5 separate regions of the Mus musculus genome follow, and all the other regions are reported to be linked to region 2. The links are microRNA targets in miRTarBase. Many come from high-throughput screens and were not tested one by one. Region 2 holds a microRNA gene; each other region holds the end of a gene's coding sequence.

What was found. The annotated mature microRNA mmu-miR-467g reads UAUACAUACACACACAUAUAU and lies in region 2 at 1,195-1,215, shown strand. An mRNA with a match to its seed (bases 2 to 7 or 8) in the 3' UTR can be bound and repressed. Matches are read on the target gene's strand: a 7mer-m8 pairs with bases 2 to 8, a 7mer-A1 pairs with bases 2 to 7 and ends in A, and an 8mer does both.
Region 1: miRTarBase lists Wfdc12 as a target of mmu-miR-467g. Seed matches in the 3' UTR shown: 8mer at 734-741 and 7mer-m8 at 740-746.
Region 3: miRTarBase lists Golt1a as a target of mmu-miR-467g. Seed matches in the 3' UTR shown: 7mer-m8 at 1,535-1,541, 7mer-A1 at 1,842-1,848, 7mer-m8 at 1,892-1,898, 8mer at 1,900-1,907 and 7mer-m8 at 2,011-2,017.
Region 4: miRTarBase lists Tspan12 as a target of mmu-miR-467g. Seed matches in the 3' UTR shown: 8mer at 1,367-1,374.
Region 5: the mRNA of Slc22a15 is a reported target of mmu-miR-467g. Seed matches in the 3' UTR shown: 8mer at 2,057-2,064.

The regions. Positions count from the first base shown.
Region 1 is chr2:164,185,965-164,190,086 of GRCm38, reverse strand. It overlaps Wfdc12 (WAP four-disulfide core domain 12), which reads left to right. Exons shown (of 3, transcript NM_138684.2): 3 at 404-856. The coding sequence ends at 428. A730032A03Rik (a long non-coding RNA gene) reads right to left here. Exons shown (of 4, transcript XR_003954086.1): 2 at 3,763-3,829. Among named protein-coding and RNA genes, the nearest start is that of Wfdc12, 2.5 kb to the left of the region's middle.
Region 2 is chr5:34,729,965-34,734,086 of GRCm38, reverse strand. Mir467g (microRNA 467g) reads left to right here and starts at 1,115; the gene lies at 1,115-1,234. Grk4 (G protein-coupled receptor kinase 4) reads right to left here. Exons shown (of 16, transcript NM_019497.2): 10 at 4,045-4,082; 11 at 2,517-2,606.
Region 3 is chr1:133,320,900-133,325,001 of GRCm38, forward strand. It overlaps Golt1a (golgi transport 1A), which reads left to right. Exons shown (of 5, transcript NM_026680.4): 4 at 92-155; 5 at 710-2,127. The coding sequence ends at 751. It also overlaps a transcript of Kiss1 not described here. Among named protein-coding and RNA genes, the nearest start is that of Kiss1, 4.3 kb to the right of the region's middle.
Region 4 is chr6:21,769,306-21,773,427 of GRCm38, reverse strand. Tspan12 (tetraspanin 12) reads left to right here. Exons shown (of 9, transcript NM_173007.4): 9 at 492-2,037. The coding sequence ends at 797. Among named protein-coding and RNA genes, the nearest start is that of Gm30270, 81 kb to the left of the region's middle.
Region 5 is chr3:101,856,858-101,860,979 of GRCm38, reverse strand. Slc22a15 (solute carrier family 22 (organic anion/cation transporter), member 15) reads left to right here. Exons shown (of 12, transcript NM_001039371.2): 11 at 1-179; 12 at 461-4,122. The coding sequence ends at 541. Among named protein-coding and RNA genes, the nearest start is that of Mab21l3, 23 kb to the right of the region's middle.

The DNA of each region.
Region 1 (4,122 bases), not on the chromosome of region 2:
GTCTCCTGGAAGCATGGAAGAGCGAGCGATTCTTGGAGTCAAGGGGCAGAGAGACTGGGGTGAGCTTATGGGATCTCAGAGACCAGAGGCCTTGACCGTCTCCTTTGTACAAAGGGGAAGGCGTGACAGGGATGTCAACCAAGCAGAATCAGGTGAAAGCCCCTGGGCTTTCCCTCCTCCCAGGACTGCTCACACAAGTCCCACTCTGTCCTTTCCTCCTCTAAACTTGCTGTCACCTAGCACCTGCCCCGGGGGTCCACAGGCTTAAAGTATGGGAGAAACGGGCAGCCCGTGGGCAACCTGGTCTCCGAGTCCTTGTGTGCAAAAGAAGGAACAGCCTATCCATCCAGCCTGTCCCCAGTGTGAGCATCCCTCTTCAGCGGGTTCTCCTCCTCTTTTGTAGACAGATCCCTCAGAGTAAGGTGTGATATCTCATAAAAATGGCCTCAGAGGACTGCTTCCACCGTGGAAGGACACAGCAAGAAGATACAAAGACCAGAAACCAGGCCTTTCCAGATACTGGATCTCTGGGCACCTTGATCTTGGACTCCCCAACCTCCAGAACTCTGAGAAATAAATGTTGTTTATAGGCCATTCAGTCTATGGTAATTTGTTACAGTGGTCCAAATAGACTAATACAACTTAATAGTTTAAAAAAAAATCCTTGTTCAATATTATGTGTGTGTGTATGTGTGTGTGTGTGTGTGTATGTTTGTTTGTGTGTTTGTGTGTGTATGTATATGTATGTACATATACATGCATGAATAATTCTGGAAATATACATTTTTTTGGAAAAACTATTAAACTTTATTATATGACATTTTTTACAAATCTGAATAAATAGGATAAAATTGTCCATAATACGATTTTTTTAAAAAAAGATATGCCTTTACAGCTGGCCAAAGGTAAAACAAAGTGACTCTGGAGTTGTGAATTATTTATCCCTAAGTGAGACACCTGTATCACACAGCAACCACCACCACCACCAAGCTCAGAGAACATCTAGGAAAAGCCTGGAAGATTGGCACAGATAATGTCTTCTGTGCATGACAGGGCCGCTGTACTCATAAATTCACAGCAACTGTTGTAGCCAGCACAAGACCTGCACAGATCAGTCTAGTCACCCTTAGTAGAGGAGCCATGTCTGTTGACGGCCACTAGAGGGGGCAGAGTCATCGTTCCTCAGTGGTGTGGCCCGTGGTGGGGTGCCAGTGCCCCAGTGGATGGTACTGCACACCCACGGGTGTATGGGCACACTAATTAGATTCAGTGGGTTATTTTTAAGAGAGAGAGGAATTGGGATTGAGAGGGAAGTGTGGAGAGGAATCAGGGGGACTTGGAGGGAGAAATGAGAGAGATGATCTAAATACATTTTGTTTGTGTATTAAAGTACTAGAGAATATATAAAATATGTGCGTGTGTGTGCACGCATGTGTGTGTGTGTGTGTAATTTCTTACATATTGCATATAGAATACAATGCATATATATGCCTGCTTTTCTGCAAACACCAAGTGTTCACAAGGCAAGGATGTCCATCCTGATCAACATCGTTCATATATAACTACAATCTAAACCCTCTAGAATTTGCAATCTCAATTAAGCTGTCGCCACAGGCACCGGCCATCCACAGCTTCCTGCTGTTTACAGGGTGTCATTTCATCATCCCATGCTATACAACGTGTCCTTGTGTGGAGAAACATGGCTTTACGATGAGAGGATTGAGGTGTTCTGGCTGAAATACTGCAGTTTGTCTGAACAACATTAAAAATGGGTAAACTGGGAGGGAGGCAGAGGCAGGTGGATTTCTGAGTTTGATGCCAGCCTGGTCTACAGAGTGAATTCCAGGATAGCCAGAGCTATACAGAGAAACCCTGTCTCAAAAAAATAAAAAAAAATAAAAATAAAAAAAAAATGGGTAAGCCAGGTATAGACTCCTCCTCAAGTGATGCAGGAAGCTGAAAGATACCACAAGGAAGGGCTTCTAGCCACACTAAGTAGACATTCATCTGTTTGCTCAAGCAGAAATTACAGAAGGGGAGAATGGGAGGCAGGCAGAAATGAGCTAAAATGTTTATTCTGGAATAAAGGAATCTAAGGATGTTGCAACCATGCAGGGAGTGTCAGTGTATGGACTTGGTTCTGAAAACTGCTTGAACTCATTTAAAAAATGTATCTTTAATCATGTGCATGTCTATGTGTCTGTGTAGAGGTGTGTGCCTGTAAGTGCAGATACCCAGAAAGGATAGAAGAGGGTATCAGATCTTCTTGGTCTGGAGTTAAAGAGGTTATAAACCACCCAGCATGGAGGATGGCAAACTAGAGTCCTCTGCAAGGGCAGTATGAGCTCTTAACTGCTGAACCATCACTCCAGCCCCACAAAGTCATTTTTAGAACAATAAGGAAAATAGAAAGCAAACACAGCCGGGCATGGTGGTGCACACCTTTAACCCCAGCACTCAGGAGGCAGAGACAGGCGGATTTCTGAGTTCGAGGCCAGCCTGGTCTACAGAGTGAGTTCCAGGACAGCCGGGGCAACACAGAGAAACCCTGTCTCAAAAACAACAACAACAACAAAAAGCAAACACAGAGGCAGATGATTAGGTGTGACAATGACAAATTCAGTTCTCCCCTTTCTTTCAGAGTTGATAGAGGGTTTTGCGATGTAGTCCAGGCTAACCTGGAACTTGGATCCTGCTAGCTGCACACCCTGGGTGCTGGGAATGTAGGAGTGCATCACCACACTCAACCTAAATGATCATATCTTAGAGACCCATACTGAAATATCTATGATGTGTTGGGTTGACTTGAAATTTTAAATTTCAAAAAAATAATAGTTTGGATGTACACAAGAAGAAATGTAAGATGTTCCTGTTGAGTTTGGAATGCACAGAGTTTCATAAAAAGGGTTACTGTTCTCCTGTATGTTTTTGGAATGGTGATAAAAAATGTTATAGCAAACAATGAGTTGGGTTTTTTTCCCAACTTAACAAAATAATCGAGTTCATATGGGGCAGTGAAAGACTGTGATGTAAGAGGTAACAATGTAAATTAGTAAAATTCATGGATACCAGAAGTCGCTTAAACATAATGTAGCTGTAACTCTTACAACAGAAGCACTGGATCACAAATAAGGAGGAGGAGGAGGAAGGGGAGGAGAAAGAGGAGAGAGAGGAGAAAGAGGAAGAAGGGCAGAAGGAAGAGGAAAATGAAGGAGAGGATAATGAGGAAGAAGAGGAGGAGGAAGAGGAGGAGAAATAATGAAAAAAGAACAAAAAATTCCCAGCAACAGCATGGATGATGTAATAGTAAACTTCACTTGTCAACCTGACACAACCTAGAATCACCTGCAACGTCTCAGTGATGGACTGATTATCTATGTAAGGCTGACAGGTGGACACGTCTATGGTGGGTTATCTTATTTACATTATTGATATGGGAAGACCCAGCCCACTATGGGCAGTACTATGAGTCCCGAACTGTGTAAGGGCGGAGCAATAAAGCTGAGCACAAGGAAGCAAGTATGTATGTGTTTCCCTCTGTTCCTGACTGCAAATGTTATGTAACGCATCTGTCTTGACTTTTCCATCCGCATGCCTTGACTGTCCCACGATGGACTGTAAACTGTGAGCTAAAAAAAATTGAGAAATGGCTCAGCCATTTAGAGTACTTGTCCAGGCAGAAAACCCAGGTTCAAGTCAATTTCCAGCCCCTGTGGAGTATATCACAACCTCCTGTAACTCCAGGTCCAGGGAATCCTGTACCTTCTTCTGACTCCTCAGGCATTGAGGTCACGTGAAGTACATACATTCACACCAGCGAAACATGCATCTGCATAAAATAAAGATAAAGAAACCTTTTTATAAAGAGAGAAAGGTCAACACAGTATCAAAGTACATACATTATATGCATCTATGGAAGTCTCATAGTGAAATCTTTTCATTCGTACAACTGAATGATATTCAAATAAAGGAAGCAGATATAAGTGGAAACGGTGATTTGATTATCCTAAAATTTAAATCTTTGGTACAAGTCCTCCTCCCCAAAAAGAAAGAGTCACTTGAAATAGAGAATTAGAATAATCATCATCACTTATCAAATGAATTCTGTTCTCAAAACTGGCT
Region 2 (4,122 bases):
GTTGGGAGGTTGAATGGGAGGATCATATGGAAAAGGGACAGGGAAGATGGGATAGAAGAAAGTTATCAAGGGGAAAGACATTAAGAATTGGAGATTATTTGTGGGGCAGTATGGAAATCTAGTGCAGTAAAAACTAACTATATGAAGGCAATCCAAATGAAGTCTCCAAATAATGAGGGAGTCAGAACTCTTAATTGCCATGTCTTGTCACTAAATGAAGCTTCCAGTGCTGGGACTGGGTATAATCCAGTTGAGCTGTTAGCTAAAAAGGTCCCATGGAAATCACCAAACAACTCAGGCTGTTACTCAGACAATTGGTTGCTCTCCACAAATTGACAAGGGCTCATTGCTGAAGACAATACCTACACAACTCATTGAAAATGGAAAGATCAATCTGATGCCTACATAGGACCTTTGCTCCCATTTTATAATGCCTATGACATAGGAAAGTATTCTGCAGGGTACCAAAAGAGAAAAGCAAACAGCAACTCAACCACAAATCCTTAGATCTACAATGGTGACACAAACTCTGTGGGGGTAATCAGCCTATGTCTGATTTGACGTAAGGCCTATTACATAGCCATACCCAAACCCAACACTGATTGTGTCATCAAGAACCAGAGTCTAGATATCATAGAAACCTAGAGTATAACCAAATATCACTGGTCAAAAAAATTAGTAACAATAACATGACTTCTAATGATATTCTGCTATAGTCACAGTTCAGTGCCTTTCAGTCATCACCACAAGGGCTTTTTCCTACAGCAGATGGCAATAAATGCAAAGAGCCAAATCTCTCTCTCTCTCTCTCTCTCTCTCTCTCTCTCTCTCTCACACACACACACACACACACACACACACACACACACACACACACACAGAGCGAGAGAGAGAGAAGAGAGAGAGAGAGAGCACTAAACCAGATATCTCCATAAAATCCCTCCCCTGAGAGCTTAGAGAACCCCTCAGAAGAGGAGGCAGAGGAATAGGGGAATCAGAAGAGAGAGTGGACACCAGGAGAACAAGGTTCTCTAAAACAACTGGGCAAATTTCATATGAACTCACAGAAATTAAAGCAGCAATCAATCACAAGGCCTACATGGGTCTGCACCAGGTCTTGTGCATGCATATATATATATGTGTGTGTGTATATATATATACATATATATACATACATACACATGTATATGTATATATACATACACACACATATATATATTCATGTATATATATATATATGTATATTCATGTATATATATGAATGTAATGAGGCCTTGTTGTCAGTTTGTGGAGAGCAACCTACTGTCTTGGTAACAGCCTGGGTTGTTAGGGATTTCCATGATACTCTTTCAGTTGACAACTCAATTGGATGATATCTAGTCCCAGCATTTTGCGGGGGAATATATATAATATATATAAATATATAACTTTTATATATTTATAAATATATAAATAAATACATGCACATATGCATATATATAAATAAAAGTTTTCAGTTTAGTACTTTTATGAAATTTATGAATATGTAAACAAGTGGGTCTCTGATTCTTGTGCCTTCTCTTGGGCCTCTTTCATTTTTTTCTGTTGGCTTAGCTTGTCCAACTTCAATATGATAGTTTTCATTTTATCTTATTATATTTTGTTTTGTTATGTTTTGTTATCTCCCAGAAGCCTGTTCTTTTCTAATGAGAGACAAACAGGGAGTAGTATATCTGGATGGAGAAGAGTGGGGAACAAGTGGGAGGAGCAGAGGGAAGGGAACTGTATTCAACTGTATTTAAATTATACTGTATGAGAAAAGAATCTGTTTAATAAAAGTAAGGAAAGAAGCCAGAGATAGTGGCACAAGCCTTTAATCCCAGCAGTCAGAAGGCAGAGACAGAGTTCCAGGCCAGCCTGGTCGACAGTGTAAGTTCCAGGACAGCCAGGGCTACACAGAGAAACCCTGTCTCAAAATAACAATAAAGGCAGGGGAGAGATGTCTATTAGATGTGTGTGGTAGTGCTCACCTTTAATCCCATAGATCACCATGCCCAGCTTCCCCTGACCCCCCAAAATCTTGTTTTGTTTTGTTTTTTTAATTAAACTTAGAGCTAATTGTTGTTTTCCAACAGGAAGACTGAATTGTTGTGTTTGTTTATAAAGTATCAGAGTGATAATTAGCTTTATTAAGTGCTATTTTAGGGGCAGGAAAGATGGCTCAATGGGTAAAAGTGCTTGCCTTCAAGCCTGACTAATTGAATTTTGTGAAAGCAGAGAACTGACCCACTTGAATTGTTGTCTGACTTTTACATGCACTCCCTTAGGTACTCATATGTACAGATACATGCACATAATAATAAATAAATGTAATATAAATATTTTTTAAATTAATGTTTTAATGTAGCATTATTGTTATGGCTTAATGAGGTTCATACACTTAAAGTAAATTAAAAGCTAAGTCTTCCCTCTAGGTTCTAAGCCCTAGGACACCTAGAAGGTATGGATAAGGTCCACCAAAGTCATCTTTCACTTACCCATGTAGCCAACAGTACCAACTCTTCCTCGTACCATCTCCCCTTCTGGGACTTCCATAGCTAGACCAAGATCTGAAATTCGGATGTGTCCTGTGCAGGTTCACACACAAAGTACAGATCATTGGGAAAAGTAACATTTTAGTGACAATTTATAACTGCGAGGCAAAGTCCATCTAAAACGTATTGATGAGGGCTGGGGATATACCTCAGTAATAAAACCCTTGTATATGATATATAAGGCTTGTGATTCTATCCCTAGTGATAAAAACACACAAAAATGTATTAAAAATAGCAATATCTAAAAATTATATTTAACTTTTACATATGTAATGTACTTTCATATAGCACACTGAGTTTCACTAACAGCAAGAAATTATATTTATACCTAAAGAAGCCCTTTAACAGTAAATCACCACTAGATAAAAACCAGAGGAACCATATTTATTATTTACTCATAACTATCAGTTAAGCTACTTCACTTAGAGAACTGTACTGTTCAAATGTTTTGGGTATAGGAAGGCATAAATGTTGGCTACAGTCCTATGAAAGTAACTAATTATGGAAAGTGTTCTTCTAAGGACCCCTATCATAGGATTTAGACTTACCCTCATAAGACACCTAGTAAACTACTCAATGTATTTCAATATAATTTGTTCACTTCCCTTCAATGCCAACTCTAGATACCAGTGCAGCATAACCCAGCACAAATCACAAGTTTAAGAGTTGGAAGCAGTCAAATTACTTCTTAATTATTCCATAAATGAAATTTCAAGCACCTTTCTTCTTCATTGGGGTCAGTACATAAGTTAGGTAACGAGCAGAAAGCAGTGGCAGAAGTAAATATAAAAGCTAAGTCTGATAATGTCCCATGTTTGCCTTCAGTAATGAGCTACACTAGCCTATTCTTTCCAGGAATCACTCTGGCTCTGGTTTATGTTTCCTACTCCACAGAAAGATCCTTTTAGCTATTAAGAATCACTAATCATAAGCTCCTTCTCAAATTGCTAACCTACTTAGTGTACATACAACCAGCATCCTAGCAATAGGGCTCACTCTCAGATCCAGAGATACCAATGTCAGAGGCACCCATGATGCTGATAAGGAGCTATCACATCATGACCAGTCCCCATAACAGCATTCTACACCCCCACTCTGTGACAATTGATATATGATAAGGGGACAGCATAGAGGGCAGCACGCCAAGTTTAGAGGGCTAAGGAATAAAAATAAATAGAGTCAATAGCAAAAAACAGGAGGGCAAATACTCATTTGGGGTTTATTTTCACCTACTTCAAAACATTAATCATTAATATATGGAGTCTCTGCTTTTGTGTAAGTACTGGTGATGGCAATGTCAATTGGTTTTTGTGTGTGTGTGTGTGTGTGTGTGTGTGTGTGTGTGTGTGTTTTAAAGAACACATCCCAAAGAGTTTCTTTTAGTTATTGTTTCCAGTCTGCGTTATTAACTGACTATGTCCACATTAGCTTTTCTGACAAGCCTACACTTAAGCATGGAAGGCTCTCTTACCATGATCATCAAGGAGGATATTCTCTGGCTTTAGGTCTCTACAAGGAAAGAAACAACAAAAATCTGTTATTCAGAAAT
Region 3 (4,102 bases), not on the chromosome of region 2:
CTGCTCTCAGAGGAGAGCCTTTGAGTAGGAACTGCCTTATCCCTCCTCTCCTAGGCCACCACTGACCCCTTGTCCTCTCTTCTATTCCTAGGGGCTTTTTCCCTGTCGTCTTTGGCTTCCTGGGCAGTGCGTTTAACATCCCCTTCCTGAGCACAGTGAGTAGATCTCAGGCTTGGCAGTGGTGTCTGGGGTGGGCGAGCACGTGCAGCTGACTAAGGTGCTACCCTAGGTGCAGTAGACCCCTCCCCCATATCCTTTGAGACACCCCCACCCCTACCATCCCACCACCACCCCCAGTCCATGGCTAAGGCATGGGTGGAGAGGCGGCAGCCATTAATAGCTCCCCAAGCAAAGAAATAAAAACTCTATGTGACCCAGCCAATACATACCTGAGATTTCTGCTATACCTGCTTAAGTCTGGGCTACAGGCATAGATAGCAGCTGGTGACATCAAGAAAAAGCAGGGAGCAGAGCCTGTTCTGGGCTCCACACCCATCTCTGAAGTACCTCACAAGAGAACACTGAGACACCCAGGGAGGGGCCGGAGCACACGGCTTGGATCGCTTGCCAGCTGGGCACACCCCGCCCCCCACTCTCCTCAAGTAGTAGCGTAGCATAAGCCTGCATCTCAAGGCCAGCTGGGTAATAGCCTGGAGATTGAGTCTGCTTCCCACTCTTTGTCTGGAATAATGATTCTTGGTTCCCACAGCTGTTCCAGAAGCTTCAGGGCTCCTCCAGCTCAATGGTCTGAAGTGCCCAGGCGAGTGCCTTGAACTTGGACTGTCGGTGGGGGGGCTGGAAGGGAAACGGGGGCTATCTTCATGAGCCCCTCCCCAGCACTGACTTACTTACCATGACACACGGGCATCTCCAAGTCCAGAAGAAAGATGGAGCTGAGTGATCGATCTTAAACCCTCGAGTCATCTCAAGAGGCCGCCAGGAGCAGAGATCCTGGCCATGATACCCATCTAGGGCTGGACGAAAAAATTCCCACCCTGACTTTCTGCAGGAGAGTGAAGATTAAATCCCCAAGCTGTGAATGTATCTGAGATTTGGCGTTGATGTCTGCAGCCTGAGGTATCCATCCCAGCCTTAGGGCAGGCCTGCAACACCACCCTCAACCCTGATCCCACAAGATGCTACCAAAGCGCTAAGAGTCAGACCCTGTCCTTGGTCCATGGTTCATGCTGGCACTGAACATCCTGAAGGGTTTGATGTGACTCTAAGCCTTAGTTAACATTAGGCAACTATGGGAACCGGCCCCACGTAGCATCAGGAAGACTACCGCAGCCATGAGGTGACCATTTCCCCCACAGGGCACAACAGATAGAGTTGGAGCAGTAACAGCCTTGTGCTGGGGATGGGTGGTGCCACTCAGAGAATCCAGCCTCACAGGAGCTGGTCCTCGTTCTGGGGGAGCCCCTGATCTCATGGTAAAAAGAGATTTTCTTTTCTTTTGTTTTTCTGAAACAAGGTCTTAGGTTGGCCTGGAACTCACAATCATCCTGCCTCAATTGTCCTGAATGTAGGATTATATGTATGATGCAGTAGACTGGCTTAACCATGTAGACGGAAGAAAGAGCATAGGCCAGGCCTTGGTAGCACACACTTGTAATCCCAACACTTGGGAAGCAGAATCAAACATCTCCGAGCTCAAGGCCAGACAAGGCTACAGCAAGCCCCTGTCTCAAATCAATCAAATCAAATCAAATCCAAACAACAACAACAACAAAAACCTCGAAGGAAGAAAGGAAAAGGAAAGACCAGAGTCACTGTGAGCATCTATTGAGCCCCTTCTGTTTACACCTAGCAGTGGAGTAGGTGTCAGGTGTATATATATGATGTATATATGATAGGGAGGCCTGTTCCCGCCCTTAAGGTATATATGATATATGTATTTATGTATATATGTGTATATGTGTATATCTATATATATACACATATACACATACATATATGAATGATACAGAGGCTTGCTCCTGCCCTTAAGGTGTGTGTGTGTATATGATCTATGTATGGTGGGGAAGCCTGTTTCTGCCCTTCAAGCACTGAGAGCTACCCACTCTCCACATCTGCTGTCTCAAAGCCAGCTCAGTAACAGCAAATACAAAATAGCCATTCCCTCTCCCTCCCTTCGTTCTGTATTATTATAATTATTTTATTTTTGAGAGAGGCCCCCACTATGTAGAACAGGCTGTCCATGGACTCAAAGCTCCGCCTGCCTTATACCTCCCAAGTGCTGTGATTGGAGGAATGTGCCACCATGCCTGACTCTGAGACGAGCTCTCACTCTGTTACCCATCCTGGTCTAGAGCTCTCTGGGCATCCCAGACTGGCCTAAACTTACCATCCTTCCGTCTCAACCACCCAGGAGGTAGAATTACATGTGTGGGCTGCTATGACCAGCTTTGCCCTCCTTCCTAACAGCCAGCTGCTTATATAACTGCCCAGCACATCTGGCCGTGTCATATCACATGCTTGTCAAACCCCTGTGTCTGCAGATGCTCAGTAATTAGTGGGAAAGGGAGGGGAGGAGAACCCTGGGCACCACCCCCGGTCTCAGCTCACAGTACAGGAGCCACCTCTGGTGGAGGCCAATCTGACCTGGCTTTCTTTCATGTGGGCACTGAGGAGCCTCTGGGTCAGACTGTGCCTTGCTCCTCCTCCTCCAGCCTGTGTCGTCATCAAATTTACTTCAGTGTGTGTGTGTGTGTGTGTGTGTGTGTGTGTGTGTGTGTGTGTTGGAAGAGAAGGACAAGACATTTCACATATACACACTGCTCAGCCACTTTCTCTTCGTTGTTTGGGGTGGAATGAGTCCCCCGCTGTGAGGGAGGGGGTGTCAAGAGGCTAGAGATGATGGAAGAATTGGTGAGCTTATGAAAGCAGTCTTGGTGATTTCTGGGGGCGAAGAAATCGCTGGCTCCAGACTTGAGAGCCTGGAGGCAGAAGCCAGAGGCAGGGCGTGGAGCCCTGAGGAGGGTCCGGGAGGGCAGAGGTGGGATTATGCTTGGAGACGTCACTCATTCAGACTTCATAAAAGGGGCTGTGATCAGGGAGCCAGATAGAGTAAGCCCAGGAGCCAGTGGCTCCCCGCTGTGTGTTCCAACTACCCAGCCCTCCAGCCCTCAAGCCAGGACCCAGTCAAGGTAGGCACACTGCTTGCAAGACTTGGGACTGCCCTGACCCAGGGAGGGTCTGGAGAAGCAGGCCTCCCACCCAAGGCCAACTGAAGCATCAGGGCAGCAGAGGGCAAGGAAAGATGGCATCCGGGGATGCCAGGGAGAAGAAGCTGGCTTGTGTCTTGTGCTTAAAGACAAGACACTGGGTATTCCCAGAGCCCACTTCTGCTGTATAAGGAGGGAATGTAGTGAAGTGACTCTGTGGGTACACCTGAAGGGATCTGGGGGAGCCCTTGGGGTTCATGGCTCACCAGGGCTTATCTGAGCCTTTCCCCCAATGCAAAACTAACTACATACATATGCTGTGAGAAACTTGCAAAGAACTGGGGGTAGAGGGATACCCTTGGAAGGAGCCACCTTATTTCAAAAACCTTCTGACCATGCCTAGAATTTCTCTGTTGTTTACTAGATGTAAAAGCTTCTAGGGTGAAAGAAACCACAAAGATTGTCCATGACAGACCACATAAGCCTCTTCTGATTTCTCACATACTGGGAGGTGGTGGGAGTGGGGAAGGGAGGGTGTTCCTTTTTTATTTTCAAACAGTTCAATTCTCATGTATCGAGTGCTCTCTGGAATAAGCAACAGAGTTATTGGGGCCTGGGGTGTCTGTACATGTGGCATGTGTGTTGCTTGTGGGATACGTGTGGTATCTATGTGAGGTGTTTGTGTTTTGTATATTATGACATTTGTTTATTTATAATTTATTTCTCTGTGCATGTGTGTGAGCATGTGTGTGAGTACCTGTGGGACTCAGTGGACAACTTTTGGGAGTTGGTTTTTCCCCTTCTACCACGTGGATTCCAAGGGATTAAATTCAGATTGTCAAGCGTAGTGGCAAACACATTTATATACTGAGCCATCTCACCAGTCCATGTCGTATCATTATATATAGTGTGTTTGCATGCAGTTTGTGTGTGGA
Region 4 (4,122 bases), not on the chromosome of region 2:
TTACAGGCATGCACGAGACATATGGCTTGTTTTGTGGGTGCTGGGATCGAACTCTGGTCTTAATTGTGTAGCAAGTGCTCTTCACAGATGGGATACCTCTCTAGTCTCAAAGAACTGTTTTAAAATACATTTCTTTATGATTTATTATAAGTAAATATTTTATTGGCGTAGCTATTAAAAAACCTACATACCCAAGGTTATATTATGTTACTCAAGTAAAAATCAGTCACCATTACAAACTATTTAATAAGTTGTTCTCTAGACACTGGGTTTTATACCAGTGCCTGTGTATGGAAAATAAAAGAAAGATGCTGGACAGTATGAGCTACCAGGGCCTTTCAAGGTGAGCACCACATCTTGGTTAATGGTCAGTTTTTTAAATTTCCTAAGTTTAACTAACTGATTAGATTGTGCTTTTTTTCAAATCACTATTTTTGACAATTTAACACTGATTATGTTATTTCTTTTTCTTTTCTTTTCCTTTTTTACAGGGTTGTGGGAAGAAGATGTATTCCTTTTTGAGAGGAACCAAACAATTGCAAGTTCTAAGGTTTCTGGGAATCTCCATTGGTGTGACACAAATCCTGGCCATGATTCTCACCATTACTCTGCTCTGGGCTCTGTATTATGATAGAAGGGAGCCTGGAACAGACCAAATGCTATCTCTGAAAAATGATACGTCTCAGCACTTGTCATGTCATTCTGTGGAACTGTTAAAACCAAGTCTTTCAAGGATCTTTGAGCATACATCAATGGCAAACAGCTTCAATACACATTTTGAGATGGAAGAATTATGAAGAATGTCAAAGAAGGAAATCACAAACTTGTGGGACTAGTGGGTTTTGGGGTACACAGTTATCTATTTCAGAAATTTTTAGACATATTAATATTCTGAAAAGGAATGTCTAAGAATTTCTCCACTCTTTAAAACAAAGGTTCCACATGGTAATACACAGACAATAATTGGTGCCCTTCAAAATGCCGAACCCAGACATTATAACAACTGTGTGTGCTTTCTTTCTTTTCTTTTTTTCTGAGCACAATTATGTTTTGCAGTGATACAGTTTGACCAGCATTTCTGCATCCATTCACAGAAATGAACCGTCATGGTGGCACTGGAGCTGATATGAAGGTTAACTGACTCCTCTAACTAACCTATAAACTATCCACTGACTGCTAACATAGGGATTTAGTGCTAAAGACCTTTATTAGCTGGTGATGTATTGTTCTGATGGTTATTTGATTATATGCAAAAATCTTTCAAGATTGGTGACTACCTAAATATGATTTTTGTTGGTTACTAAAATAATCTTATTAATAACACTTGTAAGAGCTAACATGTTGTCTTAAACTTATCAGGGATATATATGTATATAAGTCTGTGCCGTGTCTGTATAATTCAGTAGATTTCAGTTCCTATAATATTATGAAAAACAATATTTGAAAATGGCAAAATTGTCTTACACAGTACCATTACTTTTGTCTCTTTCAGCAACAGAACTTTTAAATTCCGTCTTGGTTCTGTACTATATCTATAACTGTTAATTTAAGTTGTTAACCACTAATTTTGGAAATTACCAGTTTGACACATAGGAATCTCTGTAAGTCTGGCTGCCGGAAGTATTAACTACAGAATTTACACATAGTTGATTCATCAAAAGTTCAGATTTTTCCCCCCTCCCAAAAAACACTTTGTCAAAGAGTGTTTTTCGTTTTTATTTTTAATGTTTTCATGTATTTCTTTTGCAATCAAGAAGCAACAACTTGAAGTTGATGTAATTTTACAGAGAAACAACATTCTCTGAAGAGATGCTCATAGGAATCTCTAAAATAAGTGGTAGCCTAACCAGAGAAAATTCTTGATTTCTTTCATCAATTAATACACTGTAGCAAATGATGCAGAATATTAATTTTTTTACAAGAGTAGAAGATATTTATTTGAAACGGGAAAAGTGCATTTTACTGTATCTTGTGCATTCTGTTCATTTCTTGGATTACAGAAAGAAAATTAATCAATAAATATTTTCTAGATCATGATGGTTTGCGTATTTACTTTCAAGACAAGGTCTCAGTATACAGTTCTGGAAAGGGTGCCCGTTTTTATACACACTATCACTTTTATCAGTGAAGCAAGGGATGAGCAAGGGAGAGGATGCAAATGAGAAGAGCACGCATGGGTGTGGGGGAGGCCTCCATGATTGGAAATAATGCAGCCCACCGTCTCAAGGCATGTTTATCAAGATCCTCTGCCATACCATCACTATCTTCATGGATGCCTGGAGTAAAATATTGGGTTCAAGTTGAAGCACACCATTGAGGGCATCCGCAAGTGCTCACCTGACACAACAAAAGCAGGAGGAGCATGTCTGGGGTGAGGGTGGCTTCCTGTGAGAGCCCAGCCACAGTGGGCACTGTAGACGGGTTTGAAGCCCCCATGCTTTGAGACTTTCTGGAGCTTTCTTATGTTTCCAGATGGGGCGAGGCCTCAGAACTCTGGAGGCAGCACCATGAGCAAGTGAGGGTCCTAGATGCAGCCATAGATGCTGACTCTTTGGAGTTAAAGAAATTGGAGTGTTGGTCTTGTGCCTGCTTCTGTCTCTGTGTCCTCCACCATTGCAGGCATCCCTGTCCCCAGACTGCACCCTCCTCCTTCACTTCTTTACAGGCTCCCACTGGCCAACGTGTCAGTAGCACTGTCCAGCTTAGTACTTGGCATAGCTACTCTCACCATTCAGCTACAGAAAGAAGAGAGACTGAAAAGTCAGAGCCTTAGGTCAGCCCATGGGTGAGGGACAAAAGATACCACACACACACACACACACACACACACACACACACACACACACATCCCTACATACTCACCCTCAAGGGGGCATTATTCTTGTTTCAAGTCTTCCTAGCTAAGGGTCAATGGCCCAAAGCAGAACAGGTTTTATGAGGCTGCCATATGTCCCATGTGGTCTCCATATGTCCCATGTGATCAAGGTCAAAATGGCTCCTCCACCTTAATTTTGGCACTGTGCAAGGGTGGCAATGCGGTGCGTTGCAAAGTATAAAATGAAGTCTACAGACCTCTCTCTTAAAGGATTGAATACAATATTACTAAATTTAGAGGGCACTAAATTATTTTCAAACTCAGGAACTAATATGTAAACTCCATTTCCACTGAAAAGAGACAGGATGCCTTTACTTATTTCAAGTTCCTATTTTTGCTAAGCACATTTGATATAATAAATCACTTCTGTTCATTTATCTTCTCAGTGCTTTCCTTTGTTGTTAATTTAAAAAGGAAAAAGACTTGGACAATCGCTCCATGCTGTAATCTCAACTTCATGGAGGGGAGAGGCTGGAAGATCACTTAAGCCCAAGAGTTCAAGGCAAGCCAGGGCAATGAAGAGAGACTCTTGTTCTCTAGAGGAAAAGAGATGAAGGGAGAGAAAGAATATGGACTTATATAGGATGAAACATCAATAAATCACTTCTTCAGATTTCACTTATGATAACCAAGTAATTGACAAAGCTCTGCATTTTATTTGCTTTTTTTTTTTGATAGCTGCCAAGTTTGCTTGCTTGCATCTCTTTTGATGGATCTCACAGTCATATAACATGCTTATATTATATTGAGCTTGGGGGGGGGGCACCAGTCTTCAAATTATGGGGATTGACTTTTTAAAATAGGTATTTTGATATATTTCCCGATTTAGTGCCCTCTAGAATAGTCACCATAAATTTAGACAATCATCTTCTATATAATACATTTGCTTAATGGGAACAAATGACATTTATAGCCATGGACCACAAAGGCCTCTTATGGTAGCAGTGCACCTGGAATAATAAAACTGCAAGGAACTTTCCAAAGTGCATTTAATGCTATAAAGTTGAGGGAGTTCTCTGTTTGGGAAGAATGGGGGAAATCTGTTAACTATGTCTTTGGGAACCTTTAAAACCTTTTTGGGGGGGGGTAAAAATCACAAGTTTTAAAGTAAAAAAAAAATTAAGAGATTATTTTTAGATTGGTTAACAGGAAATTCAAAACACCCTTGAGACTCTGAGAAGGCAATTAGAGATGATGTCTGTTATAAAGGTTATAAAATCTGAGTTAGAGACACTTGTGGTAACACT
Region 5 (4,122 bases), not on the chromosome of region 2:
AGTGGTCTCTGCCCTTCATCGTGTTTGGAGCCACAGGCCTGACCTCAGGCCTCCTGAGCCTGCTATTGCCAGAGACTCTGAACAGCCCTTTGCTGGAGACATTTTCTGATCTTCAAATGTACTCATATAGGAGGTTAGGAGAGGAAGCGCTATCTCTACAGACCTTGGATCCTCCACAGGTATAGAGACACATGCTGTAACCATCTAGGTGCCCTTGGGTTTGATCCCCAGAACCATCTAAACCTGAGTGTGGTGGTACACCCCTGTAAACCTAGCACTAGAGAGGTAGAGACAGGAAGATCAGAAGGTGATCTCAGCTACTTAGAAAATTGGAAGCTAACTTGGTCTGCATGGGTCCCTGTCTCAAAACAACAGCAAAATTGCACTGTGAGTGCCTGGGTGGTAATTCTCATTAAGGCCTGTCATGATCACTTCTACAAGATCTCCTTTGCCATTGCAGCCCCTGGACAAGGTCAGCAGTGAGAGTGAGGAGGAGGAAGAGTTCTATGATGCAGATGAGGAGACCCAGATGATCAAGTGAAGAGCCCGCATTCCTGCCCAGAAGCAGAGCCCCATCATCCTTAGTGCCTCAGCTTCAGCACCAGAGATGTATTCAGCCCACACTGACGCTTTCCAGATGGGAGAGGCGGTGGAGGAGAGATTCCAAAAGGGAGAACTTGCTGCGTTGAGGGAGTCATTGCTGACTTGTTCGGGACTGGGGCTGAGCTCAGCACCACGCCTCTGGCTGCACAGCTCAGATCCACCTTGTAGGACTGGTGCCTCATGCTGCTACCCTTCCTCGGGACCTAAGAGCAGGTGTGTGAAACTGCTCGCACTTTAACTAGGGTTAGCCAGACCTTCCCCGAGATGTCATCTTCCTAGCAAGCATCCCTGTCACTTGCTTCTCCCCCACCAGGAATCTTCTGGTGCAGGTTGATGTGTACAGAGCTCCCAGCTTCCCATCAGCTCATTGGCTGGTTCCCAGCTCATTGGTTGCTGGTGCAGCTTGTGCCTTTAGTCTGTGCTCATTCACTAATAAAGGGCAGAATTAGCGGAGCATTTCTCATCAGAGGGCTGGCTGTGGCAGGGAAGCTCCCTTTGACGCTTGCGTCATGCGATTTTTTTCCCCCACTTGGATGCATTTGGGGACTGTTTTTCTTTGTGAGATTCTAGCATCAGCAATAACTTCAAAATCATGCCCAGCCAACGAGGAAACTTTACAGACTGAGGGTGGCGAGCAAGTGACACGCTAAGCACTTTGTAAATGACTTAAGAGGGGAGAGTCTCTCACAGTGTCGTCAGTGTGCAACAAGGGACATGCACAGCACACCAGGGCTGGACTCTGCCCTGCATCAGCCTCTACTGGTTATTTAAAAGGCAGGGTGGAGGGTTTTTTGTTTTTTAAGAAAATGGTGGGTTTTCATTGAGTGCTTCCGTGGATTTCCAAATGAATCATAACCTGTCTCTCACAAAACTTGAACACTCTCAAATGGCATATAAGCCAGGAGTCCACATGTGGGCAATCGATCAATCGATCACGCCCCGACCAGGGAAACGGCTGTGTGTTTAGGATTTCTGTGTCTGCTAATCTCTTGGGAGTAGAAAGCACACAGAGTAGAAAGGTGCTCTGTAGATGCCCCTGGAAACTGTGCAAGCCTGCATTCTTTGCCTCCAGCTATGTTCCTGGACTCCTCTGTGTTGTCTGGGCTTTTACTGTACTGGTCTGTTCCACTGTTAAATAATTTTTCCTTTGTGCCCTTGGGTATGGAGGAGCTGTTTCTACCAGTATGAGGAACATGCCTGGCCGGGATGCTGTGAAGACCCCATAGGTGATCCTGTGTCTAGCTGTCAGAAAGATTATAGAACTCCCTGCGACATCATATCCGCAAATTCCAGTAAAGGGTGTCCCACACTCCAAAGCACGAAGTCCTGCTGCTCTCCTCTCTGGGAAATGGAGGTCAGCTCTCCTTAGGAGAGGAAGAAAAGGACTTCCAGAAACTCTTGATTCTTGTCAAATAAAGTATTTAAAATAAAGCAGTAAATTTATATATATATATATGTATATATATATAAATTTTATATATATATATATATAAATGTTATTGAACTCTTTTTATATAATGTAACCTGTAGGAGTATTATTTTTAATATATCCCTACACAAGGTTGTTTCCCACCTCAATGGTTTTTGTTCCCAAATGAAAGACACACACACAACCTTTATATTTTAATATGCTTTAAGGAGCACAATAGCTGGTCAACTGCCTACCCTCCATGGTGTTAGACTCTACCTCCCACCGATAATTCCAAGTTACTACTTACTAGTTCCTATGTTCCATCTTGGCTGCCCCTGACCTTTACACGGTAGCTCTGCCTCTCTGGCCCTCACTCTCAGGCAGTGCTGCTCTGCTCTTCCTCCTCCTCCAGGTCCCAAGCCCTGGAAACCCCAATCCTCTTTCTTGTCTCCCCAACTATTAGCTGCTGGCATCTTTAATTACCAATCACAGTTAACTGGGGGCAGGTCCCCAGAAGCTACATGCAGACCCTCTTGTGCAAACAGTTTTGAGGGGATACAGTTAATATAGAATACAAAGAGCTACAATAACCCATCAGAGAAAATTTGGTACTAGAAGTTAGAAAGTGCATCCGTCAGTCTAGCTGCAGAAGAAGCAGGGCCATGGCTTTTTATTCATTCCCTGCTGCTGCTGAAGTTCCTGCCGCTTCTGGCTAAGCAAGTGAACTCCAGGTAATTCCCAGCCTAGAGGTAGAAGGACAGACCACAGGGTGAATTACGTGGCAAGTAATAAGGCCCGGTTGGCTGTCAGCTGCTCTTGTTGGATAAATTATTACATTTTTCTTCTCCCTGGGTAGTCCTCTAAGCACAGTTTAATAATTATTTCTCTGCCTTTGTAAAGATGAATTTTATTCCCTATGATGGCTGCTAATGAGTATTGATGGTACAAAGCCACAGAAGTCTTACTTGGTAGGTAGCCTATTTTGCTTGTACAGATAGTCTGTTAAAAGCATCTTTAAAGAAACAGTAAGGATGTCTGAAAAGTCATAAGGTATCATACTACTAACTACCTAAAATACCTAAATACATGGAAATCAATGAATAAATAAACACATGGAGTTTAAATAAGAATTTCCCCTTTGAGCTGACAAGAGTCGTAACTAACAAGTCCAACACCAGTCTGAGAAAAATTTGGGGGAGAACATTAACCTTAATTTTTAACCTTAAAAGTGACAAGAATGTTCAAAGCTACCGTGCTTCAGTTTCAGATGCTGTGTTGAAACCACAGCCACAGCATGGCTTCTGGTCTTCAGCGGCTCCAGAGCAAGGGAGATGTTCTTCAATTCTCAGCATGAACACAAAATACAAGAAGAGTATAGTATCTGGGGCACTGGCGGGTGACTGTGGCCAGGATAGGCACCGTCCAGTTTAGTGCACAATTTATACTCTTAGTGCACACATGTTCAAGTAACTGTCATGTAAAATTTTGGAACTGAAATTCCACTTTTCAGTAGGACTTCTTCCTACAGGTAGTTGATCGTTGGTCCTTAGTTTGCAAAGGTAACAAAGATCAGGGTATTTTATTAACTAAATAAAACCAGGAATTAGGGAGCTGGAGAGATGGCTCAGTGGTCCTGAGTTCAATTCCCAGCAACCACATGGTGGCTCACAACCATCTGTAGTGAGATCCCATACCCTCTTCTGATGTGTCTGAAGACAGCTACAGTGTACTAACATCAAATAAATAAATCTTATAAACAAACAGCCAGGCGTGGTGGCGCACGCTTTTTATCCCAGCACTCGGGAGGCAGAGGCAGGCGGGTTTCTGAGTTGGAGGCCAGCCTGGTCTACTGAGTGAGTTCCAGGGCAGCCAGGGCTACACAGAGAAACCCTGTCTGGAAAAAACAAAAAACAAAAACAAAAACAAAACAAAAAACAAACAAACAGGAATTAATGCCTGCCCTTTGTGAATTTACTAAAGGATCACAGAATACAGTCCTTTTGTTCATATAGAGTACATTAGGAGTACAGTAACAACTTTGACAAATGAAGAACCTACTAGAAGTCACCAGTGATCTGTGAGATGGATTGTAACAAGTAACAAGTCAG